Pelodiscus sinensis: one gene and its partners. The main gene of each other region encodes a partner of the protein of the gene in region 3 in a complex. Links are inferred from orthologs where the notes say so. Each region holds a gene or a part of one and is shown on either strand. Other genes may lie near its edges. The genes, in order: VGLL4, IRF2, IRF2BP2 and ZBTB16.

Region 1 (6,921 bases), on a different chromosome or scaffold from region 3:
CAACATGCTACAATTTTCAAAAGCACTTGAAGTAAAAGGTATCTACCTCCTATTGAATTCCAATGGGATTTAGACACCTGATTTTCTCCAACTCTTTGGAAATCCCAGCCTATTATAGAACTAATAATCACAAAGTGTATCTTATCTTACATCTACCAAAGTACTTCTCATGAGAACTTGTAAATGTTAAGTAGTTCAAGTATGAACCTCAATAAAGACTAATTAATTGAATCTGAAAAAGCACTTTATTCTCAAGTATACATATTACTGCAACAGAATTTGTCTTTTCAAAATCACCATCAACCATCATTGCTGACAACTCCTCTGTAAAATAAATACTTTGGCAGCAACATGGCAGAAGTGTAGGCATCTCTAAAAACACCCTTCAGAACTCAGTTAAGATGTGGTCAGTGTTTATACTTTTTAAATCACTGGGATATAAACACTGCTCTAGGGTTGTTGTTTTTTTATTTCTTACTTATGTTTATTTTAGAGTTAAAACTAATGTTAACTTCCATAATAAGGAAAATTGCAACAGATGTTTGAACTTAAAAAAAAACAAAAAACTTGTGTTCCTTGAGCTGTGCTTTTGCTTTCAAACTATTAAAATTATGATTTATCAACAAATACTAGGTAATAAATACAATTGAATGAAACTAGTAAGATCCAAAGCAACAAAACTTTTTCCATCTTGTCAGCAAAACCCTCCTCAGAAAAATCCATCAATCAAGCAGAAATTCTATTTCTTTGCCATTTTCATCAGGAACCAACATCATAATAAAGCACTTAATTGTTAATGCAAGACAATGACGAGATTACAAAACTCGCAATGTTCCTTTATCCAATCATTTTTGCATTCACAAAATTTCAAAAAAGAAACAGCAACATGGGAAAGAGAATGAAAGTCTGATTGCCATGCACAATCTGCACCAATACTGGCTGGCAAACCATTTATTTGCACAGCAGATTTCTGAAAAGAACATTTCTACATAAGATCTATGATTTTGTTCAAATGGAAAAAACCTGAAGTGAGTTTTGCCCACGAAAGCTCATGATACTATATATATTTTTGTTAGTCTCTAAGGTGCCACAGGGCCACTCATTTTTAAAGTTACAGATTAACATGGCTACCCGTCTGAGACTTTTGGAGTCATTAATAGTTCTATATGTACCCTCTGCTCCCCCCTGGTACTTTGAAATTTTGCCTAACTTAAACTGAGGTGAGAAAAGGAAAAGACATATTGCTAGAGTAAGCTTCTTGATTTTTGGGTTAGCCTTTTTTTAAACACATGTGAGTAGTTACCTCTTGATCACATCTATTTGTTTCTGCTTCTTTCTTGACAACTATAAAAGTTAACTTTCCAAACGAACATGGAAAATGTTCCTGCTGAATTAGAAGAGAGACTTCTGCAATGTTTGTATGTGGCTACAGCAAAACCTGCCCTCCTGCCAAGCTGAATTAGCTCAGTGGTGTCTTTCTTTCCACTCAAAGCCAGACCACTGGCACTTCTTCAAACTGCACATCGACTGAAAAAGATCTAGATCAAGCTAATTCCCTTCTCCCTTTACCTAAGGCACCTTTAAAACAAGGCTACTATTACCTACAGGATCATAAGTAAATGTCGATTTACATTAGCTGGACACAAATAAGCAAACTCACACAGAGAAGACAAAAAGTTAAGTTTTCCAGGGCATTGTGTAATTCTTTCCACAGGGACTATGTGGAGTGCTCTTGGGGAGGAGGTGTGTGGGTGAGGATGAGGGGGGAGACATCCTTCACTGTCAGGGTTTTCTCGGAGCTGGGCCGGAAATGATAAGTCAAACAAAGGCCACTCTGTGCTCCATAATATGGGTGCCCTTCAATTGCCAAAGATGAACTGTAAAATGTGTTATTGTTCAGGATGTAAGCACCAAATTAAAAACAAAAACCTGTTGTAAGTCTCGCTGTACAAATGCTTCTACTCTGTGTTTCAGAGTATACATTTAATGGCGTAGATTACACATAGGCAATGTACTTTACAAATTAACACAGACAGGTATTATAAAGTGTCTGAGTGTTTCCTTTACAGAATTACAACTATATTAACACAGGCAAAAAGCACAGACTATTGCTGCTTTAATGTAGTTCAATCAATTCCGTCTTTGCTGGGCGGGAGGGGGGGGGGGGAAGCAACCTTCACTTCATATTAGTAAGCAGAAACTTTTCCTTTAAAAAGAGTAATTTAACCTCCATTTCATAAATCCCTTTAAGCCTCTAGATACACTACAAAATACACAGTACCTGGTAACAACTATAAACAGAAATAGCTCACACTGAAAACATCAAAAATACCCCAGAAAAAAACAAACCTTCTGCCAAATGAAACAAATACCTTCATAGCACAGAATGCCAATATTGTTGTTCATCTTGTCCAAGTACTGGTAGTTCAACAGGTCCATCTTCATAAATAGCATTTATCGGGCTAACAAAAAGACCAGCTTGTTTGCTTTTGCCCAGAAGCAGGGAGAAGGAAGCTGGACAAATGCTGCCAGAATAACTCCTGGTTCTTTCTAAACTTCAAAAACTCAAGGCCCAGCCTTTGACTAATCAAAAATAAAGTATAATAAAGCAAAGCTGGAGAGAGAGGGAGGAACCTTTCCAGGATTTCGAGACTGAATTTATTTCCCCCAGCTACAAATAAAAACGTTTTTTAAAAATCCTTGCAAATCTTTCTGGAAATTTAAGAGGAAAAACAGAAAAATCAAGGAAATTTCCTAGGACAAAGCCAAGCTATTTTCCTCACAGCCAGCTGCAAGTTAACTGCACTGACATGCAGGCTATGCTTGGTATGAGCCCTATGTAAACTAGCTTCCTCTTTCTATCAGGCAGTGAGCATGCTCACTGAATCCCTGGAGCTCTTCAAATGTCAGGGATATTTTCTGCACAAGATCAGTCTCTAAATGTACTGAGTGTTTGAAAGAAAGGAGGAGGAAGAGGAGGAGGTGGAGAGTCTTTACAGAAGAGGCCATGTCAGAGTTGCTCTTGACAGGAAGTAAGCTACCACTGGAAAACTGAAAGGGGGTGGAGGGGAAGATCACAGAAACAAGGAAAGAGGCCTCTTTTCAAGTGCTAAGAAGTCGACCAAGCTAAATCTGCAGGCAGGCTTCACTTTCTGAGACAGGATTTTTTCCATGTGACAGAATAGAAGTTAAACTTTTATTTTAAATTATTCTCCTCCACCAAATTAATTTAACATATACAGCTGACATTTATTTTATTTGACATTAATATGTTTGTAATTCCCATTTGACCTGGTTTCAACATGTTGTAATGAGTGTTAATTCACCGAAAAATAATAAAATTGAAAAATTAACAAAATGGAGTTTTAATGGCTCCACGATGGAAAATGAGAACTACAACTAAACCACCACATTAACTCTTTGAATATTGGAGGTAGATATGCACACACAGATCAGCCTCTATGCTACTTTTAATCAGTCTACTGCTACATTTTAAATCCCGAAGGGATGTCAGTAAAACAATTCAGGCTCTGGCTTTTTAGTGCCTGGAGAATTCATTGTTCAAGCTTTGGTTTAAAAGGACAGAAACAAAGGAGATTTTTTTACCGCAGTTGTTCTCAGGATGTGGCTTGCTTTGCTGCAATTCGAACCTTGATCTTAAAGATTTCTAAAGGTCTCAGAAATCATGATACTTAATGTTCAAGTAACTAGACAATTTTTTGTATAGCAAACAAAATAATTTGCTAAGTAAAGTTTATCATGATGTTTTTTGGCTCCCAGATTTGAGGCAGTAAAGGTGTATCCACCTACCTCCAGGCTAAAAATAAGGTACTTTCTAGAGCAGGGAATTTTTTAAATGAAGAAAATGACATTTGCAAGTTCAAAGGGAGATAAGGCTGGAAACATTATGCAAATACCTAGCTACTCACTCTCTGATGCAAAAATCATTTTTCTCCCTAGGACTTTGAGACTCTTTAGTCACATTAGAATTGACGATTTCACGGCTTCTTTTCTTTCTTTCAAACCATTTTCATTTACTAAAAGCAACATTTTAATAAATACTGCAAGAAAGATAAGAAAAAGAAAGGCTAGATTTCACAGTTACAACACCGACAAAGGAGAGGCAAGTCCCCCCTGCCTGAACTCTAAATTCTAGTAAAATTAAGGAAAGTATTTACACTATGTGTAACTTAGTAGCTACAGCATTCCTGAATTTCCATTACTACCAGCTAAGGTCTATGGGAGAAAAGATAAGTACTAGCATATTCCAATTTACAATATTTGAATTGCTCCTGAAGTGTTGGTGGTTGGAAGAAGGGAAAGCAACCATGCTATTTTCTTATATAAAGGTTCTCATACTGCAATCAGAGTGCTTTCTGGTACTGCATTGAGCAAAGTGATTAACATCTGCCACATGCTTCCAGTTAAACAGTTTTGTACCAATATAATACATATTTGTAAGCAATATAAAACATTTTAATTCATTCACAAAAAGAAATGAATGCCTAGTGAATGGACAGAAAGAAAATTTTTTTATGCCAATATTATATGATCAATCATTCTAAAAAATCCTCACACATATGAAATTGCTCATTCCAAAGAACTTGAGGAAACTTCTAAAATCCCTAACATGCTGAGGCATTGTAGCTACTAATACCAAGTATTCCTAGACTATTTCCCTGTAATCTGCTCAATGCACGCTTTCGAGGAAAGAATTCCCAACAGTCTTATAAATGATTCACTGAGCATTTTACCAGTTTGAAATAGCTCAGGTTGAAATTAAATCAGTGGCAAACATATGTCACCAGGTTATATGCCAAGTATGTGGTAAAGCAAACATTACTAATAGCATATTCCATGAGTTTTGTTATTTATGGATTAATATTACTGCTTAAAAGTTATAGCACTTGCAAGCACCATTAATTACTATACTTTTTGCATTATATGTGAACTACCACAAATACTTGTCTTTTGTAAACCAGGCCATTTTCCATGCACACAAACCTTTAGTACAACAGCATCCCCTGGAGCTAATAGCATGAAACTGCACACACATCTTCAGTAATGCGATAACTCTGCAATAAAGTGCACAGATTGTTCAGCCTAGCTAGAATAATTGTAATTCAGCTTCCTCACAGTACTGAATTCATCAGTTTATTAGCAATATGGCCCTGCAAATCCAATATCTCGTGGTCATCTCAGATCATCGACTTGCATTTTTGTCTGAAGAAAGCAAAGAGAAATCAAATGGAGGTTTTAATTAATGGTTAAATCAAAGTTGCCAAAACTAGAAATGGCTGGTAATGATGTTTGGACAAAGTAATGCCTAAGGAACCATTTTAAATTGTCCTACAGGCAGAATTACTCAGAATTAAGGAATTAAGAACTTAATCACTGCAAAATCCTTGGACTCAATCTTCTAGCAATTTTAAGGAGAACCACCGTGCATCAGAAACTGTTTTACTGAAGGCCTTCTTTAATACAAGCTGCGTATCTGGCAAACAGCCGTTAGGAAGAACAAATCACTATTTGTGTTCAAAGAGTTCATTAAATTTAGCAATTTCAAGAGTTATAGTAAGTGTTGAAGGTTATATTGTAAAAATCAAAAGGGTCTCAATCACATATTGTTTCTAGAATAGTGATAGAAATGTAGCCGTGTTAGTCTGGGGTAGCTGAAGCAAAATGCAGGACAATGTAGCACTTTAAAGACTAACAAGATGGTTTATTAGATGATGAGCTTTCGTGGGCCAGACCCACTTCCTCAGATCAAAAACTTCCTTTGATCTGAGGAAGTGGGTCTGGCCCACGAAAGCTCATCATCTAACAAACCATCTTGTTATTCTTTAAAGTGATATTGTTTCTACACATCTATGGAATTTTTCCACCATTTGAGATTTTAATATGCCAAAGAAAGTTATAAAAAAAACCCTGCTGTGGCAAAAGTAGATCTAGATGAATATTAGGACACAATTTTATCAAACAACCACATGCAAGTCCATATATAATTTGCATGCAGTTACCCTTAACTGCAAGCACAAAAATGGCCAGTTATTCCTCTACCTGGCCATTTTAGGCAGTAATAACACCCAAATTAGCTGCACAATTGTAAGACCGGCTACATCCTTTTCTGAAAAACAGCCCCAATATGATTAATAATTATATATGGCTGAATCCATTACCAGTATCTGTTTTTAATAGACAAACTATTTAAATGAGCTCATTAAAGATTCTTAGCTGAACCGCATTTTGGTTTCACTAAGATAGGTAGAGATAAAAGCCGTGTACACTTCAAAAAGTGAGATACCAGAAATTTTCCATCTTTTTGCTATTCATACTTCCATATAGCTGAAAAGATTAGACTCCTATTAATCATATACAGATGTACTGAGTCCAGTTTACCACTTACTGATATTAAGGATTTACAGTGAAATTTTCAATAGTATTTAAGTATCAGTTCAGATTATTTCAAAAATGGTGCTTGAAGTCCAAAGTCGTACTTTGGAAAATGTTATCCCTCATGAACAGCAATCAATTTTGGAACTGATAGAAAAAAATCCTATTTAAAGAGTAAACACGCCTTATTCTTGAGGTATATTCTGTGTAAGATATAACCTAATGGATTCCCATTTTTCAGATATTTCATATTCATGCACTGCCATTTCTAACATCACATAAGTATCATGCCACTTGGAGTGTACATTCATATTGACTAATGTCCTTGTTCACTGTCAAGGTGAGAGGCAAAGGGCACAAAGCATGAATGCTCCTCAGGAACAGTTTTCACTTTTTTTCTCCCTATTCAATTAAATTAATTACTGAATAAACACTGGTTGGTAGCTGCTAGGGGATAATGTACCTAAGACTAAGGGTATGTCTACACTTGCTCCCTAGTCCAAATTAGGGATGCAAATGTAGCATACC
Region 2 (7,072 bases), on a different chromosome or scaffold from region 3:
GCATTGAGTACTTCAGCTTTCCCCACATCCTCTGTCACTAGGTTACCTCCTTCATCCATTAGGGACTGCACACCCTCTCTGATCACCTTCTTTTTGTTGACATGCCTGTAGAAACCTTTCTTGTTATCCTTCACATCCTTAGCCAGTCGCAACTCCATTTGCGCTTTCGCCTTCCTGATAACCCCCCGGCTTTCTCGAACTATACATTTAAGCTCCTCCCTAGTCATTTGTCCAAGTTTCCACTTTCTGTAAGCTTCCTTTTTGTGCTTAAGTACACCAAGGATTTCCCCTGTAAGCCAATCCGGTCTCCTACCAGGTTTGCCTCTCTTGCTACGTGTCGGGATGGTTTCTTTCTGTGCCTTCAATAAGGCTTCTTTAAAATACTGCCAGCTGTCCTTGACTCCTTTCCCCTTCATGTTAACATCCCAGGGGATTCTTTCCATCAGATCTCTGAGGGAGTCAAAATCTGCTTTTTTGAAGTCCAAGGTGTGTATTTTACTACTCTCTTTTCTTCCTTTGGTCAGGATCCTGAAATCTACCATCTCATGATCACTGCTTCCCAGGTTGTCACCCACCTCTACGTCCCCTATTAGTTCCTCCCTGTTTGTGAGGAGAAGGTCAAGCTGTGCACGGCCCCTGGTCGGATCCTTCAGCACTTGTACCAAGAAGTTATCCCCAACATTCTCCAAAAACTTCCTGGATTGCCTGTGTACTGCCGTATTGGTTTCCCAACAGATGTCAGGGTGATTAAAGTCCCCCATGAGAACCAGGGCCTGCGATCTAGAAGCTTCGCTCAGTTGTTCGAAGAAAGCCTCATCTACCTCATCCACCTGGTTCGGTGGCCTGTAGCAGACACCAACCACAACATCACTGCTGTTTGCTCCTTTAAACCTGACCCATAGACTTTCAACAAGTTTTTCTCCCTCTTTATACTGGAGTTCAGGTCTGTTTGGACCTGTGTGAGTTTCTGTGTGTGGCTGATGGATTTCCGCTCCCATACATGTTTTGTTAGTCTTTAAGGTGTTACTAGACTATTTGTTGTTTTTTAAGATTTCCTGTTACAGACGAACTCTCTGAAGCTATTAAAGATAGTAATATAGACCCCTGTTTTTAAGACATTTTGCTTGTTGTTTATATTGGGACAATGACTCATACTTGTCAATGGGCATCTTAGATTGTAAACTTATTGGGGGAATTAACAAGGAAAGTCTGTATTCCATATACTACTAAGCACCATTTTTCCACTCAACACATTAATAAAGGTCCCCGAAAGTCTTCCTACCACTACACCTACGGATTAGCAGTAATACCTTGAAGAGATTTTTTTAAAAATTTCCCACTAAACATACCAAGGTTGGGAGCCCTAGTACAAGCACCCCACCATCTGCCACTATTGTTTAAAGCCCCATATCCCCTGCGCACACACGCCAGGGATGTTACAGGCCCAGCTTAGAGACCAGGTCACAACAGGGCTCCCGACGCTGCAGAACCGAGCAAGCAAATACTAGGCTCCTTCCCCTCCAGTGCAGCTCGAGCTACTCGAGGATAAAAAAGGCTGCTCGGCTGCCAGCACAAACTCTGCTGGAGGCCCGGCGCACGCAGGTGGGTCAGTACCCAGGGCGGAGACTCTCTCTCTGTTTCTGGGCAGTGCGCAGAAGGAAGCCCGGAGCCGGGGCCGATGCCGCTGGAATACAAACAAGCAGCAGCAGCGCGCACAGGCCCGGGCTCCAGCACGCGGCCTGCAGGCAGGGCCTGTCGGCATCACTCGCAGTGGCCACAGTCTCCCTCCCCGGCGGGCGGGGAAGGGGTCACCCAGGGCCAGTCTCTCCGCAGCAGAGGCCCCGCCGGGGGGGGGGGGAACCCCAGCGGCGCGCGCTCCCAGCCAGAGCCCGACGGCTGGCGGCGAAGACAGCGAGCGGCGCGCGGCAGGGCCCCGCCATTGGGCGCGAGAGGCGGCTCCGTCACTGACTGGCGGGGGGGGGGAGGAAGCGCTGGGGCTCGTATAACCAGCAACGCGGCCTGCCGCATGGGGGGGCTGACACCTTTCCGCGCGCCCCCCCCCCCGCGGCACCTCCCGCCCATGCGCCCCCGCTCGGGCCTGCAGCCGCCGCCAAGCCCCACAGGAAGCAGGAGCCCGCGGGACTCGCCCCTCGCCCTTCCGGGGCCTCGGCCCGCAACAAGTGCCCCGGCCCCGCCTGCCTTTCGCTCCCCCGCTCGGGCGGGGAAGGGGTCACTCGCCCCCGGGCGCAGCCGCTGCCCTCCCCGCGGCTGCTCGCTCGGTACAAGCCCCCAGCAGCGCGCCCGAGCGGCACCGGCCGCGCTGCGGGGAGGGGGAGCTGATCACCTGCAGGAAATGTCCGCAGCCCCGCCACCCCCGCTCAGCTCCGCCACTCCATTAACTTTCCGCGTGCTGCAGCCGCCGGGCCAGCCTCGCGCCGCGGGGGTGGAAGTTGCTGCTTTTCCGTCCCCTCAGCGCTGTTTGGCGTCTTTTTCTCCCGTCCAGCTCTCCCTTTCCCATCTGTCACAGCGGGAGAATTAAACGCTTCCCTCCTTTGTTTCCGTTGTTGATCTTCTCCCCCCATTAGACCCAAAATAAATTCAAAGCCTAAACCCTGCCGATCTGGGCACACGGTTGGTCTCCACACGGTCCGAGACAAACACATGTCCTTCCAGGCGATCACCCTCTCAGCCTTTTCAAATGTAAAAGTGAAATTAACCTTCCTCTCCCTAGCAGCAGCTTCACCTAAAATCATATGATCCATACAACGCTGACCTTTTCTTTCTAAATCAATATTATTTGAGAGCAGGCACTTCCTGTTTGCCAAACATTTGTGTAAATCCACATACAGATACAGTAGTAGTTAAAAAATTACCTTGTTTAATATGTTATTCACGGTATTTATATAATTCCTCAAGGTTAACGCTGTTGCCAGGGGATGCAAAATGGAAATGAAAACACCCAGCTGAATAATCGCAGGAGCAAAACTAAAAGTTACTCCCTCTGCTTTGGCTGAGAAGAGTCCAGATCGAAAGCAAAACAAGGAGAGGAAACTGCGAGGAGCTGAGGCTTGGAAATTCCCCCCACCTCTCCCCGGCCTGTTTGTGCAGAGGGGGGTGGGAGCCGAGATGGGAGAGGTGCGGAAGTTTACCGCAGCCTTTCATTGGCAGACACAGCCGCTTTCATCATTTCTCGGAAAAGTCGATTTCATTTTCACTTCCCTCCAGCAGCGGCAGCGAGCTGCAGCATGTGATGTGTAGAGGCAGAGAGACAGAAAGAGCTTTCTGTTACAGGGCAAAGAAAACTAAAGACAAGAGAACAGCTTCATGTTTTTTCCCTCCTCCAAAAAAATCCACAATTAAAGTGACTGGCAGATTGTTCTCTTCCAGGGTGGAATGTTGTTGGATTTTTTTGCTGAGGGAGAGGGGAGCTCTATGGAAATCTAGGTTTAAAGGGAAATAAGCTTATGTGCTGTAATTGAACAAGCTTATGTGCTGACAATAAAATGGTATGGAAAACAATCCTAGTGTCTCAAGTATATAAGAAATGGGCCTAAATTATAAGCCAAGTCAGTATGGAAGGGTTGAAGCTAAAATAAGTCCACAAATTTTGTAGGCCTGACAACACGATGCAGTACTGAGCTACCACTACATTGATTCCTTCTATGCAAAGATGTTATGCAGCAGTTGGCCAGCATATTGATGGCCACCACATACTCTATTTTTTATCTATTTTATATGCAGTTTGACCACTGCATCTGAAAATCATTATTTCATTTTCAATCCTTCCTAGTCTGTATTCAAAACTTTGTTTGTCACTGAAATAATATATATTTCCCATCAAGAGTCCCAATCCCACACATCTTTGCTCAGATGGAGCTGAGTAATGCTTTAAAGGAGTTAACCTCAGGATTCTTCAGGTCTTTGCAGTATGTTGTGTCAGAAAATATATAGTCTTGTGGTTAGAACAATATCCTGGGACTCATTTTCCAGCTTCACCACAGAGTTTCTATATGATTTAAAATGTATACAAGTATAGCTATATTGATCAAGGGTGAAAAACATGCACACTATAGTGACACACCTTTGCAGACTAAACCACTAATATAGATACAATTATGCTGACACAGAAGAGGGCTTCTGGGCAAATAGCTAATGGCATTTGGGCAGATGGTGTTCCCATACCAGTAAATTGTCTCCTGTCAATGTATTCTATATCTGTACCAGCAGGTTATACAGGCATACTCTTTGTAGTGTAGCCACATCCTTAATCTCTCTGGGCACATCTACATAGCAGGGCTAAAGCTGAAATAAGCTACGCAACTTCAGCTAGCTTATTTCAGCTTTTCACATTGTCTACACAGCAGTATGTCGAAGGAAGAACACTCTTCCTTGGACTTCCCTTATTCCTCATAAAATGAGGGTTACAGGAGTCAGAGTAAGAAGTCCACCAGCTCAACATTATTTCAAAATTATGTTGAAGTAACTGCTTGCAGTATAGGTGCACCCTATGTTATTTTGGAATAATGTCTCAGCTCCTATCTGTAAAATGGGAATGATATTAGTTCCCTGCTTCCGAGAGGTGTTGTGATTTTCAATATTTTAGACTGTGATGTGTTCAGGTGCTACAGCAATGGGAGCCCTAAAAATAAATATCTGATGGTAAAATCAGAGCACTGAAATACCCATAGTAATTAGAATGACATGTATTTCTTGAAAACATAGGCCACAATCCAAAAGGAAGACAACTTAGAGTACTAATCCTTACACCCTTACTTAATTTTGCACATGTGAGTAAGTCCTTTGATGTGCATGCATCTTTCGATGACTGATCTTCAAGATTGGCAGGAGAGTCTGAATTCATAAATCATATTCATTTTTTGTGTAAAGCACAGTATTGTAAATCATAAAATAAAAATAAAAAGGCAAAATATGAATGACCTGCCGCTCATCCATGAGGTGAAAAATCCCTATGCACTGGCTCAAACAACTCATTCTGGAAAAGGAGAACAGTGATGTTGATGAGCTTATGCAATATTCAGCTTATGCTTGTTCAGTTTGTTTACAGAATGATCTATCTTTAAAAGATTTTAGTTTCAATTTGCTGGCATGTAAAATACTTGTTATATGTAATAATATAGAAAAAAGGAAATCTTCCCTTTTTTTTTGGAAAGGGCAACAATGTCAATGACAATCATTTGGCCCATCCATTGAAAACAGAAAGCAAGCTGGTTTAGTATGTTTATTCATCTTTCCGTAATCTTTACAGTTACACAGAATGAAACCGTTGCTTTCCTGAGGCCTAATCCACTAACATTAATTGAAGATTCCCATTGACTTCCTTGTGGTTTGGGCCTTCCATCATGGGTGCATTAAAAGAAAGCAATTCTCAGAGTAATGTTTGGAATCTCTGGACCATTGCAGTACCTTAATTTAATATTTATTCTCAGACAACAGTAACAAATGACAGTTTCTGAGGCCACAGTTAGAGCACATATATTAGGATCTAGGCATTTACTAAAACTGGTTCACATGACTTGCTGAGGGCCAATGTTGTAGTCATAATCATTTTGTAGTGCTTAAGAAGGGAAAGGAAACAGAGATATTTATTATTGTTATTATTATATTATTTTATTAATTGTCACTGGTGAGTCAATTTATCCAAAGGAGACTGTGATCTCTCAAGATTTTGTAAAATCAATATGATCTGACAATTTTAGGATTACAAAATTCAATTCAGAATTCTCAATAAATACAAACATCTGGTGCTACTCACTGTACCATTGCCAATGCTTGCAATTTTTATCACCGATCTCTCAATATCTGGTATCTTCCTTAAAGTCTCAGCTACTGGAGTCAAGTGATCATATCACCATCACAGCTTTCATTTAAAACAAAAGTTGGGATCATATCATTTAAGAAACCGAGGGATGACAAGCAATGCCTTCAGAACTTCTGAGTGAGGAAACGAATTTTCATTGCACAGGTACCATAAAGGTGAAGTTTTAAAAAAGGAACTACAGATGAACACTCAGTAGGTCTGACTCTGAGTACTAATCAAGCATTAATGTCTCTGCACCTGCCTTTTTGCCTGTCTCCCTCCCCCTGTCCCTGACAAGGGAGGGAAACAGTTATGGAAAATTGTCTGGGGGGGTCAACTGGGATGTCTCTTGCATAGGATTTGGGGGCCAGACACTTGCTGGGTTTTAGAGATTGCGCCACACTCATCATTTCCCTCCTGGATGTTTGGGGGGAGGGGGATTTCCCTGCAAGCGATTGAGTACCAGTGGAAGGTGTTGTGCTTAGAGTCCTGTAGGGCTTCTCTCAGTCCTTGGGGGTAGGGGGCGGGCTCTTCGGTCTTCACAGCACCTCGGTGGCAGCTGGAGTAGGAGGGGTAAAAGGAGGAAGAAGTGATGCCAGTTTCTGGAGAATAGCAGTGGCCTCAGCAACAGATGGGTCCCAATAGTATGAGTGTCTGAGTAGGGCAGGCACCTGTTTTTGGGCTAGGTCCCTTCTCTGGCCATGTTCCCAACATGATTGTGAACCGTTATTAACTACTTTCTGAGAATGGTCATCCAGCCAGTTATGCACCCGCCTTATAGTAGCTCCATCTAGGTTGTATTTGCTTAGTTTATTGATAAGAAGATCATGCAAGACCATATCAAATGCCTTACTAAAGTCTAGGTATACCATGTCCACGGCTTTGCCCTTATCCACAAGACTTGTTATCCTATCAAAGAAAGCTATCGGATTGGTTTGACATGATTTGTTCTTTACAAATCCATGCTGGCTGTTACCTATCACCTTATTTTCTTCCAGATGTTTGCAGATGGATTCCTTAATTACCTGCTCCATTATCTTTCCTGGCACAGCAGTTAAACTGACTTGTCTATAGTGTCCTGGGTTTTTCTTATTTCCCTTTTTATAGATGGGCACTATATTTGCCTTTTTCCAGTCTTCTGGAATCTCTCCTGACTTCCATGATTTTTCAACGATGATAGCTAAAGGCTCAGATACCTTCTCTATCAGCTTAAGTATCCAAGGATGCATTTAATCAGGCCCTGGTGACTTGAAG
Region 3 (7,447 bases):
CATTTCTGTTTGCCAAGTGCTCTCTAAAAAAAGCAGCGCAAGTCACAGCCTACACTGAACAGTAACTGTCACCAAGGAAGCACAACAAATAGTTGCTATAACAAAAAAGAGGAAATGCCTTTAAGTACATACCTTTTGTCTTCAAAAAAATATAGAAACACAATGTATTCAAAAAATCAAAATTATACAGCCATGTTTTATGAAGTCTACATTTCCCTTGTCTTGGAGATATATATATATTTATAGATATTTATAGATATATACATAATTCAAGCAGTTTTAGTTATAGGTGACCGTTGGGTTGTGAAACTGGAAAAAGTCACGAGTCTCTCTCTTTTTTCACTTTCACATCTCCTGCAAGAATGGTTGCAATCTCCCCCTGCATGAAAGCCCAAGGGACATTGGAGCCCACCAGGGGGCATTTCTCCCCACTGGGACAATATACCTCGCCACTAGCTCCTTGTTGTTTGATGCTTTGTCTGGAGCAAGGGAAACAGAACTTGTGGGAAGGGACAGAGGGGCACTGAACAAAATGGGTGTCTTCCAACCGCTCGTGGCACAGGGTGCAGCACAAGGGAACACTGGCTGCTAGAGATGAGTCCGGGAGGCTGGCAGGATGCACTGGCTCCAATCCCCCAGCAGTGTTTGTCCCTTGACTTGGCACCTCCCTGCTTGGACCCAGCCTTCTTTGGTTCATAGAGGACGGAGAGGGCGGGCTGTTGCTGTTTCTCCTGGTAGTGGAGTGAACTTGGTTGGCATCTTTGGAGGAGTGGTTGCCCCCTGCATTGTCTGCTACTAAAATGAGCGCAGCCATAGGGGATTGGCCATTCTGGGCTGCTTCAGGCGGTGTGGTCCTGTTGGAATGAGGCGAGGCAGTTGGTGGAGGGGGAGACATGAAAGATGTAGCAGTCATGGACATTTTCATCCCCTCTGATGATGTTGGCAACCAGGGCTGTGATTCTCCATTGATCTTAGGGGGTCCAGCTTCACCTTCTGGTTCTGGGGACGGCTTCCTTTTCCTTGATGCCCGAGCCCCTAGAGACGCAAAGAAATGGAGAGGAGGAAATGCACAAGAAAAAAAAAAGCAATCAGATTAACACAGCTATAAAGGGAGATACAGCTACACAAATCAAGCTTCAAAATGGTTCCATTTTAAAAGTATACACAGCCCCTGGTTTGCATAGAAATACCTATTATCTGACCTATGCAAATACATACACAACGTGACATGCATCCAAAGTAGGTGTGTGTGTTCTATACAACTTGTGCATGTGCACATCCAGCCACCACATGCAGGCATGCAACAACCTGTACAAGTACACAGTTCACACACACGCGGGCTGGCTCTGCAACGCTGCTAGGAGGCTGAAAGGTTACTGGTGCCTTCCCTGCAGCTCCTATGGCGAGCATGAACGCCAGGGAGGAAAAGCCCTATCTCTGTCAGTGCCTACCAGCCGGCCCTGACTCATAGCTCTCTGTTGTGCTGTTTCAGCACATGAACACGTTGCCACCTAAGCAACGGTGCCGCGTTAGGCACCAGGAAGTGGGAGTTAAGAGATCGGGGTTTGTTTTTTGGGGGGAGGGGGGGAGCAGACATCTCCCTTTGCCTCATACCTGCTTTGGCCACGGTCCCGTTGCTCTCGTACCCCAGCATCCTGCTCCCCGCCAGGCCGGGCTCCTTCTTGAACTTGCTCTCGAAAGGCACCGCGTGGCCCCCGTGCTGGTGTAGCGCCAGCAGCGTGTCCCGCACCGTCTTGGGCTTGCCCAGCCATTCCTGCTCCGCGCCGGCTGCCCCGCGGCCCTTGCCCTCGACCCCCAGCTCCTCCGCCGAGCCCCGCGGCGGCTTCTCCTTGCTCTCGTGCTCGCCCGCGCCGGCGCTACTGCTGCTGCTGGAGGACACGGAGCCGGGCCGCTTGTGCGCCAGCTCCCCGGGCGGCGGCGGCTGGGGGACGGAGACCTGCATGGGGGCGGGCGTCCCGGAGATGGCGGCCAGCGAGGCGGCAGCCCGGCTGCTGATGCTGATGGCCGCAGGCAGGGAGGCTCCGTTCATCAGCGGCACCAGGGTGGGCGGCACCGTGTGGGTCCGCCGGGGGTTCGGGCTCTGCCGGTTCAGCTCGGGCGGCTCCTCGGGCTTGGGGAACCCGTTGGGCATCAGGATCCCGTTCACCTGCCGGCTGGCCCCGTACTCGGCTCCCAGCCGGGGCGGCGGCCGCTCTGAGGAGGCGGCAGCACCCGCCAGCGGGTAGCGCTCCAGGGGCTGCGGCGGGGGCCGGGGCACCCCCTCGCCCGCCACCGCCGTGTGGTTCAACTGCTGCTGCTGCACCAGGATCTCCTTCGCGCTGAGCGGCGGCTGCTTGGCGTGGGGCGGCGGCGGGGCTCGGCCCTCCTGGAAGCTGTGAGCCCGCTTGAGCTGCCGCGCCGTGTCGATGACGAACTCCACCCGGTCAGCCCCCTCGTAGTTGACGCAGCCCCGGCAGACGGGCTCGGTGAAGTCCCAGATCATGGCCCAGGGCATGCGGGGCAGGTCGCACAGGTAGCACGACTGCCTGCGGGAAGCAGCCGCCACCGCCGCGGACGACATGTCCCAGCCCAGGGGCAGCGAGCGCCCCCCGCGCGTCCTCCTCCTCCTCCTGCAACCAGAGACCAAGCGGGCAGGCTCCGGGCTCTGCAGCTGCCGCAAGATCTTCCGCCCGCTGCAAACAAGCGGCCCCCAGCGAGCGTGGAAGTCACTGAGACTAGGGCAAGCGCATAGCCCCGTCGCGGCACCCTCGGCTGCCTACTCCAGCGCGCTGCTCACTCCGCCTGCCCCGCTTGCTCCCTACTGCAGCCCGGGCGCTCGCACTGGGGCGGGGACTCCAGCAGCAACAGCAGCCGCCGCCTGTGCGCTCTGCTCCAGTGACTCGATTCTTCGACAGTGCCTCCGAGCGCCTGCGCGCTGGGCGCCCTCTTCTCTGGCCGCCTGCTGCTGGTGCTGCTCATTGAACTTCTGCCAAGAGTCCCAAGACAACAAGAGCTGCAAGAATAGCCAGCTCCCTCCTAGTCAGCAGAGGGTGGGGGAACGCCAAGGGCTTGCACATGTGAATGGGATGTAAATAGGGGTCTGTGGGGTCCTTATTTGCAGCCTAGGTATTATTTGTGAGGAGGTAATGGCTAAATACGTCAGCAGGCGTGAAAAATATGTTTAACAAAAGAACAGATGCCATCTTTACTTGATTGTTAAAATATTGTATAAGATTAATTTTGTGATGGCTCACTTTTGGCCGGAATTTAATATAATCTTTGTTTTAATCTTGCCTTTGACACTGACTCATTCCCTGGCCTTGAAGAAATCACTCCAGTCTGATCCCTTTGACTAAACAACTTTCGCTGACTTTCCCAATTTTTCCGTTAAAAAGGGTTAATAATACCTACACCCAGAGGTTTTCGAGGGGCAGTTGGTATGTGCACAGAACTTGGAAGATCGAAACAGCTACTCAATGTAATTTCCTTATTCGTTTAATAGAGATTTTCGCATTGCCTTACGCTAAGATGGAAGGGACCATAATATATACAATTGCTACTTATCTCTTTTTTAATGTTTCATTTGGGTCGGAAATAGGACATTCTAGGTTTCCTCATTTGCAGCCACAAATCTTCCATTTTCTAGTGATCAGCAAAGCGCATGCTAAGTAAACACAGCCCCTCCTCCCCAACCTGCGGACATTTTTTTTCTTCCTACTTCCGCACTAAGAATTCCAAACAGCTCGTTTGACAATTGCAGCCAGTCAAAAAGAGAAAGGGATGTTCTGTTCATTTGTCATTCGCACATGAAGTCATCATTCAACCCAGAAGTAGTCCGAATACATAGAGGGGGCTGTGTGTGTGTGTGTGTGTGTGATTGTGCAGCGTAAACAAAGTGGAAGCTGTTCTCTCAAACTCTTGCTTGTGGGTCACCATTCCCACAGTGCTGCTGCTGACTTATGTAGGTTACAAAGGGAGGGATGGAGGAAGCTGAGCTCTGACGTCCGCATTTTGTTTCAGGGCTGCAGCTGCGCCCTGTGCGCAGACTCAGTCAGGGACGTGACTCAATGCAATTGGCACTTGAAACCTTATTAAACGAAATGCACATTCCAGGGACAGACTCACAGAGAGAGAATCTACAGCCAGCACCGCCGATGCCCCGTCACAGCACTAAGTACCGCCTCCCTTGCTGCTATTTCTGGGCTCTCAAAGCTCCCTCCTCCCACTGCCAGGCTTAACTTTTACTTAACGTAGCAAAAGCAGCATGTACAGTAGTACACAGGAATGGGTGTAAGAGCCGCATTCTATACTGTACTACTCTCTCCCTTTGCACTGAAAATCAGATCAGGCTTTTGTTATTCATGTGTACAGCTCTCTATTAATGGAGACCGGCTGGCATGAGGCAGCTTTGCGACTGCAGACAATGGTGGTGTTGGGGGTATTTTACACTAGGATATTTCCTCCTGCAGAACCAATGGGCAGGGGGCAAAAGGCAGAGGCGTTGACTTGTAATTGCTGACCCAGCTGGGCGTTTTTCATGTTTTGTTATTTGCAACCCACGAACGGGAGACGAAGCATGGACACGATATTTTATGGAGCTAATTAGTGTGATGTCATCAAAGCAAAAAGTCAATTGATATAATGTCCTCGCTCTATTTGCTAAGGGAATGCTTTCATCCAGCTGCAGAGTTAAGCTAGGGAAATGATCTCTAACCCTCCCCCCCCCCCCCGCCGCCGCCGCCGCCCTTTAAACAGAGTTTATCTGTCAACTTTTCGAGCTCCACTATTTTTTTCGAGAATCAAACGCCGTAGGCCGCTAACGCGACACACCCCACCCCAACCTTTCTTCTTTAGACTGGGATGAGCTAGCTTTCTTGGAGGCAGCGTGTGTAAATTAGATGATCTCCCCTACTGGATTGGCAAGGCAAGGGGAATGGAGCCCTGCTAAGGTTTTTACCGTGCTGCTATCGACACTGCCAGGTTTTTTTAAGGCGCGGGGAGGGGGGGGGGGGGGACGGGCGGAAAGAAACCACCCTCGAAGAAATGACTGTGTGTTGATCTTCTGTCATATTTTTAAAAGCCTGTTCTAAAATTTACCCGAAGGACATTTAATCCCAAACTCAAGCGTTTTGACATGCAAACGCCACATGATCCTCCTTTGGGGGATTTCCAGAGACTTTGCCGCCGTTTGCTAATGTGCTTTCTGACGGCGCCTCCTTCCCCACCCCGCGCGCACCGGTGCAACCAGCGCTGATGCAAAATCCGCTTCCCCCCACCCACATCAGTGCAAGTGCAACGAGGATTTTGATACAACGCCACTATCCCCCTCCCTCGCGCACCTTGGAACCGTAGGTAATACAATCCCCCCCCCCCCCGCCAGCCAGTTGCAAATGGTGACAGAGCAGATCCCCATACACGCCACTTGCCCTCTGGCTAATGCGATCTGTCCCTTCAAGGGTTAAGCAGTTCCCCGCCCTTCGAGCCTTACTTTTGTTTCAGCGATAACATAAACACCGCCTTGCACGTTTGCTCAAAGCAAACCTTGCCATTTTTGGGACTGCCCTGTCAGCGATAAGCGAAATTCAAAAACACGGTCTAGATGTAGGTTCTCTCGCTCCCTCTCTTTGGATACATGCATGTGCGCTCATAAAAGGAGACCGCTCCTTTTATTTTCATATTCATAATCCCTTAAATATTTGCAACTCCATTGGCATAGCTTCCCCGGTGACCTTCCTGAGGTTAGCTTGCCAATGAAAGAGCTATTTTTTTTTGGACTGCACTCCCGTCCTGAATTCCCCCGGGAGCTAAAAGGGTTAACACATCTTGTTTTCTGCTTCACAACAGCACTCCCGTTCAGATTGTGTAAAACTCCTTTAAAGCTACTCTCCCCCCACCCTTCTAAAGACGCTTTATCAATGTATACTAAGTAAACAGATTTTTGTTTTTGTCTTCCTCCCACAACCCTTTCTCTCCGGACTGAAATTGGATTCCTTCCAACCCGGCTGCAGCAACTGCTGCCTACACACTCACAGGGTTTCTAGGGTGAGGCAATGCGTCTGCGATTCGCGGAGACAAGGCAGGAATTGTAATTGCACTGCATCATGTGATAGCTTATGAAAGAGGAAGTTAGGATGTTTTAGTCACGTACTCCTTTGCCCTCTTGCTTAGCCTCTAGGTTCTTTGAAGGAAAAATTACATGTATTTATATATGTTGGTTGGGTGCCAAGAACGACTGTTTGTGCATTTAAGATCACGAGCAGTTAGTAAAGGTGGGGGGGGGAGGAAACCGTTCAGCTGTGGAAGGCTTTAAACTGGAGGGCAAATTGTGCTCACTTTTCCTTCATTCTAACAAGAGCTTGTTGGAAAAAATCAAGATGAGCAATTTTAAGTTTTTAACTATAATTTTATTGCTCCGAATTAACTCTGGAAAAAACAGGAGGGAGGCATAACGTCTGAACATGATTTTCCTGAAACAATGGCTGGATTAAATAAAAAATGTAGGCTTTATATCATGACCTGTAAACTCCCCAAACCTAATGATTTCATGGGTTTAGTAGAATGGAACTGGTCAAACACAAGATATGTTCAGTTGCTCTCCCTCTCTCCCCCCCACCCATCATATAGACTTGAGCTTCAAGACACCTACTGGTGGTTTATGGTAATGCCGTTTTGCCTGAAAATAACTTATTAAAGGCACAAACTGGCCATATCCTGCTTGCTTTACACAAAGTTTAATTGATTTCAACAGGACTGCCTTTGGGTACATGATGAGCAGGATATGGTCTATTATAATGAACAATGTGCCCTCAATTGTGCATAATTTCATTGGTAGTTTTGCTGATATAATTGAATTACTTGCTTGCACCACTAGGTGGGTGCACACCTGGTAGCTGTTTGTAGGCCAGGCAAACACCTATCCTCCATTCCCTCTTTACCCCCCACTTCCTCCTTTGTTCCCCATGCCAGGGGCTTTGTGTGCCCCCATTTCTCCTTCATTCCCTACCCGGATTTCCTATTTTCTCCTCCATGCCAGCCACTGTGTGTGTCCTCCCCATTCCCACAATTCTCCAAACTTCCCCCACCATTATTATTTATTTTCTATTTGTCTCAACTGGGAGATAAGTTACCATGCTGCCACGGTGCATGACATAAGTGGTATTGGGAAGATGGGCAGTGTGGGCATGGGGAGGGCTAATAGTTATGCTGGAAGATACCATCAATTATTGATCTGTAGAGAATTAAAAATCCATACAGTTCTCCCTTTTGAGAGCTAAACCATTCCCTGAAATTTTGTAATTGAACTTATGCTGAGTTCAAAAGTTTCCATATTCTGTCCAAATAAACGGAGAAATGCCATCAAATTGAGCATAAAGCCTTGCAAGCTGGGCCAACTAAAATTTGACATTAAATTTTATGCACATTTTGGATATATTGTTATTTTGCATTT
Region 4 (7,342 bases), on a different chromosome or scaffold from region 3:
CCCCCGGGGGAAGGGAGCGGAGGGGCCCTGGCGGACACTTTCCCCGCACGAGCCCCCCACATGGACCGGCGCTGCAAAACTAAAGCCATCAACCAAAATCAGGGCGCTCCCCCGACCCCCGGCTCACCCACCCCGGCCCCGAAAGGAGCCTCCTCTCTCGGAACGCATCGGGGCGGCCGAACCGCTCCCCCCTCCCCCCGCAAGCAGCAAATAAATAACGGGGGGGGGGGGGTTACATGTTTCTCTCCGCCGGAACATCACAACAACCGCTGCGCTTCCTCCTGCCAGCGCCCCCCCGACCCACAGCCCCCCCCCCGCCCATTGCAACCCCCCCCCGCCCATTGCAACCCCCCCCCCCGTGTCCCCTCGCCCCCACCTTCCCCCGAGGGAGAACCGGCCAGGCGCAGCGCTGACAGGCGAGCCCGCGTATCTCCGCGCATCGCTCCTGCCCGGGCATCCGAGCGAGCAGCCCCCCGACACCCCCGCCCCGCGGAGCAAGTTGCTGCAAGCCGCCCCCCTCGGCACTCACGGGCTAGTGCATGGCAGGCGCCTCCCCGCCGCCGTGCGGGACCGGGGCTGGCTAGGGCAGCCGCGGCGGCATGTGGCAGTTCGCAGTGCCCGCTCTCATCCTGCCCCGCTGCTCTCTGCTCGCAGGTTAGCAAATCAACACCGCGCGGACTGACGCGCCGGCTGGCGCCCCGCGTCAGGGCCGCTCCCACCCCGGCGAAGCCCGGGCCGGGCACCATCTTTACTGCTGGCACGGGGCTGGTGCCCACACCGCTCTCCCGCACCCGGCTCCCGCCCCGAGCCTCCCGCCAGGCTCTGCCCCCCACCCCCTCCCTCCGCGGCGCGCCCTGGCTGCCGGGGGGTCTCCGCTTCCCAGGCGCGGGGAGCCGCCCGCCTGACCCGGGGAGATGCTGGAGCGGAAAACTTCCCACGCCTCCCGGGCCAGGAGGTTCTCCAAGGGGGGCACCCACCCTGGGAGCGCAGCGGGACTCGGGACGCTCCAGGGACCCCGCTGGCGCCTCTGGAGCTGGAGTGGGAACGGGAGCGAGTCCCGGCCCTTCCACACTGCGCTGGGGGGGGGTACTAACAGGTTCACACCTGGCAGCAGGGGAGGGAAGAGTTACCCCCCCCCCCCCCACGCCGGACCCCTCAGGGCGCCAGCTCGGGAGAAGCGATTTTCGGGCACCTCGAGCATCCTCCGGACTGAGTCCCTGCCTCGCGCCAGGCAGCTGTGTCGAGGTCCCGGTCTGGCGCCGCCCGTTCCCACGCGGCTGGCGGGGGCAGGAGGCTCGGGGCCCCAGCGCTATCGCTGCACGGCGGGACGGGTAGGCTGGGCTGGGGCTCGCGCAAGGCGCAGGACACCGGGCTCCGAGCGTAAAGACGCGCAAAGCTCCGGCCCGCGGCAGGACCCGGCCAGAGCTCCGAGCCATCCGAATTAGACTCCGGATTGGGAGGGAGACGGGTGGGAACGAGCTTCGCCGAGCATCCCTCCTTCGCCAGCCCATGAGCCCGCCCGGCCTTGGCCCGGCCTCCACAAGGCAGCGGCGCTAGGACACGCTCCAAGCGTCGCTCAGCTCGTCCTGCCCAGGGCGGGGGAGCTGCAAACGGGCCGAGGCCCCGATCCTGCTGAGTCGGGGCCGCTCCCGGGGGCAGAAGCAGCCGCGCTGAGGGGGGGGGGGGGGAAGCTGCGGGTACTAAGTAGCCAGGGGGCACCCCGCGTAGCCAGGGGCGAGCCGCTCTGCAGGAGCGCGGGGGGAGGGGTGCAGCAAGAGGAAAGCGGGGGTCTGTTGTAGCCCCGTCGCTTCCCGGGTTGCTCCGCCAAGCCCCGGGCAGAGGCGAGCAGCCCCCAGGAGTTGGGGGCGGGGGGAGAGGGGAAAAACCCTTGGTCCCGCTCCTGCCCCAGCCCAAGGGAAGTCACCGAAAAGTTGCATGGAGGGGAGGGGGGGAGCGCGGGGTTGGCCCGGCGGCCGGCTTTGGGGACCGGCCGCAGGGGCTGGGGAGGGAGGGGGCGCGGATCCCGCGGGCTGCTGGACAGCGCTTGGCTCCGCTGGCCTCTGCCAACAACAAACATGGAGGAGCAGGAGGCTGCCTTGGGGAATCAATGAACCGGAGCCAATGCCTGCGACCCGGCTCGGAGCGGCCCCGCGGGGATCGGAGCGCGCCGGGCCAGCACCTGCTGCACCCTGCGCGCCAGCCGGCCTGGGCCGGGGGGACGGGGCGGGCGAGGGGCGCTAGGGGAGCAGCGCGCAGACCGTGTCCCCAGCGGGTCTGGGTGGTGGGGCTCGGGAGGGGTCGTTCGCCCCCAGCCCAGCCCCTCCGCCGGCTGCGTCCCGGCACCTGCCTGAGAGCCAGCCCCCGCCTCCCCGCGATCGCCTTCGCCTCCCCCTCGCCTCTGCCCCGCAGGGGATCCACGCACCCGGCTGGGCCCCTGACCGCCCCGCGGCTCGTTCAGGGCGGGAGCCAAGGGGCTCAGCCACCCACCCGCCCGCGGAGCCGGGTTCCAATTCGCCCCCGGCCAACGCGGCACCCGCTTCGGAGCTCAGGCTCCCAGTCCTTCCCCCCGGTGCACACACGCTCCGCTTTCAGGAACGCACCCCAGCGCCGGGGCTGCAGCAGCGAGGGGGGTAAGACCCCCGCGTGCTCATCATGAAATCCGTACATCGGAAAAGAACCCCGCCTAACCAGCGTGCGGGTGTCGCTGGCTGAGCCACGCTACACAAGAGACGTTTTCAACTTGTTGAACTTCTAATGTGACAACTGCGTCGAGGCGAGCGATAAGGCGGCGGTGCGGACGTCTGCTGCCAGCCTCGCTCACCATGGCTTTAACTCGCGGCAGGCTCGCCCTAGGAAGCATCCGATCTTCCCCAGCGGAGAAATACACAATTAACCCCCGATCCTAATCTTCAATTAGGCCTCAGGCCGGAGAAAGCCACTTGAAACAAGACAAAGCCAGACGAGCCCCCAGATTCCTGGTACAAAAAAAAAAAAATCTCCCTTGCTTAATAAACTCAGCGCTTTGAACGCCCAGCCTCTTGCTAGCAAGTGTTGCAGGGAGAAGGGTGCCTGAGTTTGAGAGATGGAGAAAGTAACAAAGACAAGCCATGGGCATGGTGCCAAATTTTGGCTGGAAAGTGCCAAATATTAGGTACCCGCCAGTTTGATATGGGCTGTTTTGCCCAGATAAAGACACTATTCCAAACAAGCACCGTGTATAGAAAGGGCAGGAACTGATGACGTGAGTTGCAACTTACAACTCAGGAAAGTTGTAAATTGTAAACGCTAGTAACTTGAACAATTCAATTCACTCTTTTTTCCTCTTTTTTTTCTCCCTTCCCCCTTATTTATTCTTGGATCTGGACTTCTAATACTCCAGTCACCTGAAGAAGTGTGTTGTACCCACAAAACCTCATGATACCATCTACCCATTTTGTTAGTTGCCAAGGTGCTGCTAGACTATTCATTGTTTTTTAAGTTTTTCCAGTTAGGGACTAATTCAGCTATCCCTCAGAAGCTTATAATAAAATGGTTCTTCTTTAAGCTGCCACAGGACTCCTTGTTGTATAAGAATGGCAGTGAAACTCCAGGGACAAAGATTTGCTGCAAAAAAAAATCTTTTTTTTTAATAGAAAGAGAGAAATGAACAGCATAATATCATTATCTCACAGACACTAACCGTCTCCCCTTGCCCCCGCCCCTCTGTTCTAAAATCTGATTTGTCAATTTTATATGTGTTCACTTTTTTTTATTGTATCACTTTGGTATATATGGTCGTGCCAATTTTCTTCCACAAATTGATCTGAGGAAGTGGGTCTGGCCCACGAAAGCTCATCATCTAATAAACCATCTTGTTAGTCATTAAAGTGCTACATTGTCCTGTCTTTTGTTTCAACCAAACTTCTTGTTCATAATGCTACTCTTTGGAATGGAGATATAGGAATAGTGCAATTCATAAACTCCAGAATAGTAGGGTGCCAAAGTTCAACACATTTTAAAAGCCAGGCCTCCTTATATAAAAGGGGAGAGTGCCTGAAATAAATGAGACAAGATTCGTTTCCAGGGGACATCAAAATATTGCTCAGTAATGGGAATGCTTCCTTCTCCCTTTGCATGGTACAAGTAGTGTGGGACCCAATATTGTCTGCTAAAATAGCAAGTAAGAATAGTATTAGTACAAAGATACCCTGAGGGATAAAGCAGTGTGAATGTAATCTAAAGAGAATGTTATAGGAAGTGTGTTTATAATTATAATGGGATTTAATGTACTTTGGGACCAGATGATAGCAGTCATTTAACAAGAACAGCCTAATAACAGAGGCCCTATAATGAAAGAGACAGCACTGAGGGTTATTACATAAGCATTACAGTGTGGCATTCTCAGTAGCATAGTTAAAGATAAGGCATCAACTAAACCCCATATTTCAGGGGTTATAACTCTGCCATTTTACCTGGCAGCAAAATGAAATTTCACTTGCTGGCTGCCAGTCTGCATGCATATGACCCCCTCTCCCTTTTAAATTCCTTAAATCTGCACAGCCATTGCGTCTTTTGTTTTGCTTTGTAAAGTAGAAAAAAATCCATGGTGGAGGGAGAGGAGCAGTTGCAGGTGTCTGTTTATCCTGCTCTAACTTTTAAGAGGCTTGATTTCAGAACTGAAATTTCGCAGACAGCTAGGGGTACATTTCTAGTGTAGCTTGCATGAAATTAAGCCGCATGAGTCCCATTAGCAATAATAGATCTCCCAGGGCTACATTCCCAGGCAGCATGCTGAAAATTACCCCCCTCCCTCCCCAGTCCTTCCTGGGAACTGGTGCATTTCACTTTTCTTTTTTAAAAAATAATGTAAAAGCTATTGAGTTGTTTAAAAGACTTAATTCCTATCACTGTTTTTCAAAGGATACTGGATTGATGACCCTACAAATGACGTTCTCATTCATCTGCAGACTAGGTATAGCTCAGACCACAGTGCACTTAAATACTCCCCCAGTGTCAAGCTGTGCCTTAATAGTTCTATTACATTGGTTCTCCAGTCAGGACCAAGTCCTGATTGTCCAGTCAGGACCAAGCCCTCATGCTAGTAGATGTTGTACAAATACACATTTAAACATGGTCGTTGTTCCATAGCTCTGACCGTGCAAACACATATGCACATGCATACGCTTTACTCGCCTGACTAGTTCCCCTTGACTAGTAACTGCAAAGGGACTAGTTATTTAACTTCATGAATGCGCATTCTTATTTTCATCATCTGTACTGCAGTAGAGTCTAAGGTCCTTTGGTACTAGATGCCATACGAACACAGAAGATAGTACCTGGCCAAGAACATACAATCTAATAAGTAACTGTTAGATCTTTCCCTTGGGAATTAGCTTGCACATTCCCTGGGAGGGGACTTTTCAGTGGGGGGTGAAAAGAAAGTTCTGATTCGGTCCCAAGTTTCTTTGCTGAAGCTGTCAATAAAGGCAACAAATTGGTGAATGATGTCAATGGTGAGAGCAACTTTTCTGTGGGCACCTGGTTCAAACCCTTTTCCACATGGACTCCTGAACAGTCTGACAGTCTAACATCACCTTGCATGCCATGCACTTCTTTCCGTGGTTATATCATGCATGGAGGCTCTTCAAGGCACTTTCTTTGCCTACAGACGTTTCGTCTCCATGTTGCCTGCAAAAGACATCACCAGATAGAGTGGGACAGAAAACTGGAGTGAAATTTGTTTTCTCTTCCCCCATCAGAATGCATTGAAATAGAAGCATTCTGCTGAGACTGTTTGGTTCTGACAAAGTGGAACATAGGGGCCTGTTTTTATGCCTGAATGCTGAGGAGCCATGTGGATGAACTGCCTTCGAGCTGTGTATCCCATGGCTGGGCATCCAGGGTCCATGGCACCAACCCCTTCCAGAGAATCTCCATTTTTGCTTTCATTCCAAATTGGAACAAAGTCTAGTTGCCAAATGTCACCCCCCAGCCCGCCCACCCTTCCCAAACTAGAACCATCTTTCACAGCTTGGGTTAGGAAATATCTAGCTGGCAAACTCTTTGGTGGCATTGATTGTCTCTCACCATTTCTGTCTCAGCACTAGCAGACCTCCAGACCGCCCTGGGATATAGACAATATGTCAGGTCTGTGCATTACAGTCTCTTGCGGGCTCCATTCAGCTGAAATTCGATTTACACGGTCACCACATCTGAAGACGTCTTTGGAATTAGCCAACTCGGTAACAGAGTCTGATCCTGATCCAAACCGTGCACTCCCTCACATCTGCATCTGTCAGCTCTACCTCTCTCTCCCCGTCTACCCACAACCCTTTTCCTGTCCACCCCCGACACACACTCAGTGCTGTGAGCCATCACAGTAAAGGTTGCTGTGTTCACTACCCATATTTTGGCCTCCTGGTGTATGCAAATAGTGTAAAGAAACCACTTATTGCTTGAAGCCATGGACCATACTAAAAATTTAAACCAATATTTATCAATACGTTAGCTTTGTTCTAACAGCCTGGTCAATAACATCTGTCGCTTGACAAGAACAAGAACAACAGAGTTCTCCTCAGAAAACAGTCCGTCTGCCTTCAGAATGTACATCCTCCTCCACACACATAGACTGAGTTCCAGAGCTGACATACCTTAGAGATCAGTGACCATAAAGGAAGTGAAAAGCAGAGCAATTCTGAAAGGTATGAAATAAGGAAGATGGAAAAAAAGAAAGAAAAAGATTTGCTTTTGACCTTCAAGTCAGCCCCTTGTCCTTCAGCAAGGCCATATATACAGTATGCAGAGAAAATGTTAGAATAGCAGATTCAACCACCAGTAACCCTCCTCTTGCCTCCCTCTCACCCCCCAGGTTCTTGTTTTAATTAAGATAAAGGTTTATTTTCTCCTCCAAATCAAGTCAAATACAAGACTTGGAAGTTCTGACCCCCATAAGCAAAAGAAGCTTCAGGAGGTAGCCAAGTTAGTCTGTATGGCTACGTCTAGACTGGCATGATTTTCCGGAAATGCTTTTAACGGAAAAGTTTTCCGTTAAAAGCATTTTCAGAAAAGAGCGTCTAGATTGGCACGGATGCTTTTCCGCAAAAGCACTTTTTGCAGAAATGCATCCGTGCCAATCTAGACGTGCTTTTCCGCAAAAAAGCCCCGATCGCCATTTTCGCGATCAGGGCTTTTTTGTGGAAAACAAATCTCAGCTGTCTACACTGGCCCTTTTGCCCGAATGGGAGCAGCATAGTACTTCCGCAAAAAGTACTGATTTCTTACAGTAGGAAGTCAGTGCTTTTGTGGAAATTCAAGCCGCCAGTGTAGACAGCTGGCAAGTTTTTCCGGAAAAGCGGCTGATTTT

The links.
Region 1: the proteins of IRF2BP2 (region 3) and VGLL4 are in contact, whole or in part, in a crystal structure (PDB 8YTF), measured with the Homo sapiens proteins. The link is inferred for Pelodiscus sinensis from reciprocal best matches to the Homo sapiens genes IRF2BP2 and VGLL4. Residues at the interface, in NP_892017.2 of Homo sapiens: Thr516, His517, Phe518, Val519, Gln520, Pro522, Phe531, Leu557, Trp564, Ala565, Phe566, Met567, Glu570, Thr573, Ile574; in NP_055482.2 of Homo sapiens: Arg161, Ser163, Val164, Ile165, Thr166.
Region 2: the proteins of IRF2BP2 (region 3) and IRF2 are in contact, whole or in part, in a crystal structure (PDB 8YTG), measured with the Homo sapiens proteins. The link is inferred for Pelodiscus sinensis from reciprocal best matches to the Homo sapiens genes IRF2BP2 and IRF2. Residues at the interface, in NP_892017.2 of Homo sapiens: His517, Phe518, Val519, Gln520, Pro522, Phe531, Leu557, Trp564, Ala565, Phe566, Met567, Glu570, Thr573, Ile574; in NP_002190.2 of Homo sapiens: Arg331, Ala332, Ser333, Val334, Ile335, Lys336.
Region 4: the proteins of IRF2BP2 (region 3) and ZBTB16 are in contact, whole or in part, in a crystal structure (PDB 8YTH), measured with the Homo sapiens proteins. The link is inferred for Pelodiscus sinensis from reciprocal best matches to the Homo sapiens genes IRF2BP2 and ZBTB16. Residues at the interface, in NP_892017.2 of Homo sapiens: Thr516, His517, Phe518, Val519, Gln520, Pro522, Phe531, Leu557, Trp564, Ala565, Phe566, Met567, Glu570, Thr573, Ile574; in NP_001018011.1 of Homo sapiens: Arg285, Ser287, Val288, Ile289, Thr290, Ser291.

What each region holds. Positions count from the first base shown.
Region 1 is NC_134721.1:47,047,559-47,054,479, forward strand, and holds the start of VGLL4 (transcription cofactor vestigial-like protein 4), read right to left. Parts: upstream 3,002-6,921; 5' UTR 2,455-3,001; coding exon 2,373-2,454; intron 1-2,372. UniProt on the Homo sapiens protein: May act as a specific coactivator for the mammalian TEFs.
Region 2 is NC_134715.1:76,082,917-76,089,988, forward strand, and holds the start of IRF2 (interferon regulatory factor 2), read right to left. Parts: upstream 3,006-7,072; 5' UTR 2,874-3,005; intron 2,598-2,873; exon of another isoform or gene 2,345-2,597; intron 1-2,344. UniProt on the Homo sapiens protein: Specifically binds to the upstream regulatory region of type I IFN and IFN-inducible MHC class I genes (the interferon consensus sequence (ICS)) and represses those genes. Also acts as an activator for several genes including H4 and IL7.
Region 3 is NC_134713.1:126,125,279-126,132,725, forward strand, and holds the start of IRF2BP2 (interferon regulatory factor 2-binding protein 2), read right to left. Parts: upstream 3,003-7,447; 5' UTR 2,582-3,002; coding exon 1,615-2,581; intron 1,036-1,614; coding exon 320-1,035; 3' UTR 1-319. UniProt on the Homo sapiens protein: Acts as a transcriptional corepressor in a IRF2-dependent manner; this repression is not mediated by histone deacetylase activities. Represses the NFAT1-dependent transactivation of NFAT-responsive promoters.
Region 4 is NC_134736.1:3,729,055-3,736,396, reverse strand, and holds the start of ZBTB16 (zinc finger and BTB domain-containing protein 16), read right to left. Parts: upstream 3,016-7,342; 5' UTR 2,822-3,015; intron 1,334-2,821; exon of another isoform or gene 1,193-1,333; intron 1,130-1,192; exon of another isoform or gene 1,105-1,129; intron 1,001-1,104; exon of another isoform or gene 978-1,000; intron 672-977; exon of another isoform or gene 530-671; intron 496-529; exon of another isoform or gene 377-495; intron 191-376; exon of another isoform or gene 132-190; intron 109-131; exon of another isoform or gene 1-108. UniProt on the Homo sapiens protein: Acts as a transcriptional repressor. Transcriptional repression may be mediated through recruitment of histone deacetylases to target promoters. May play a role in myeloid maturation and in the development and/or maintenance of other differentiated tissues.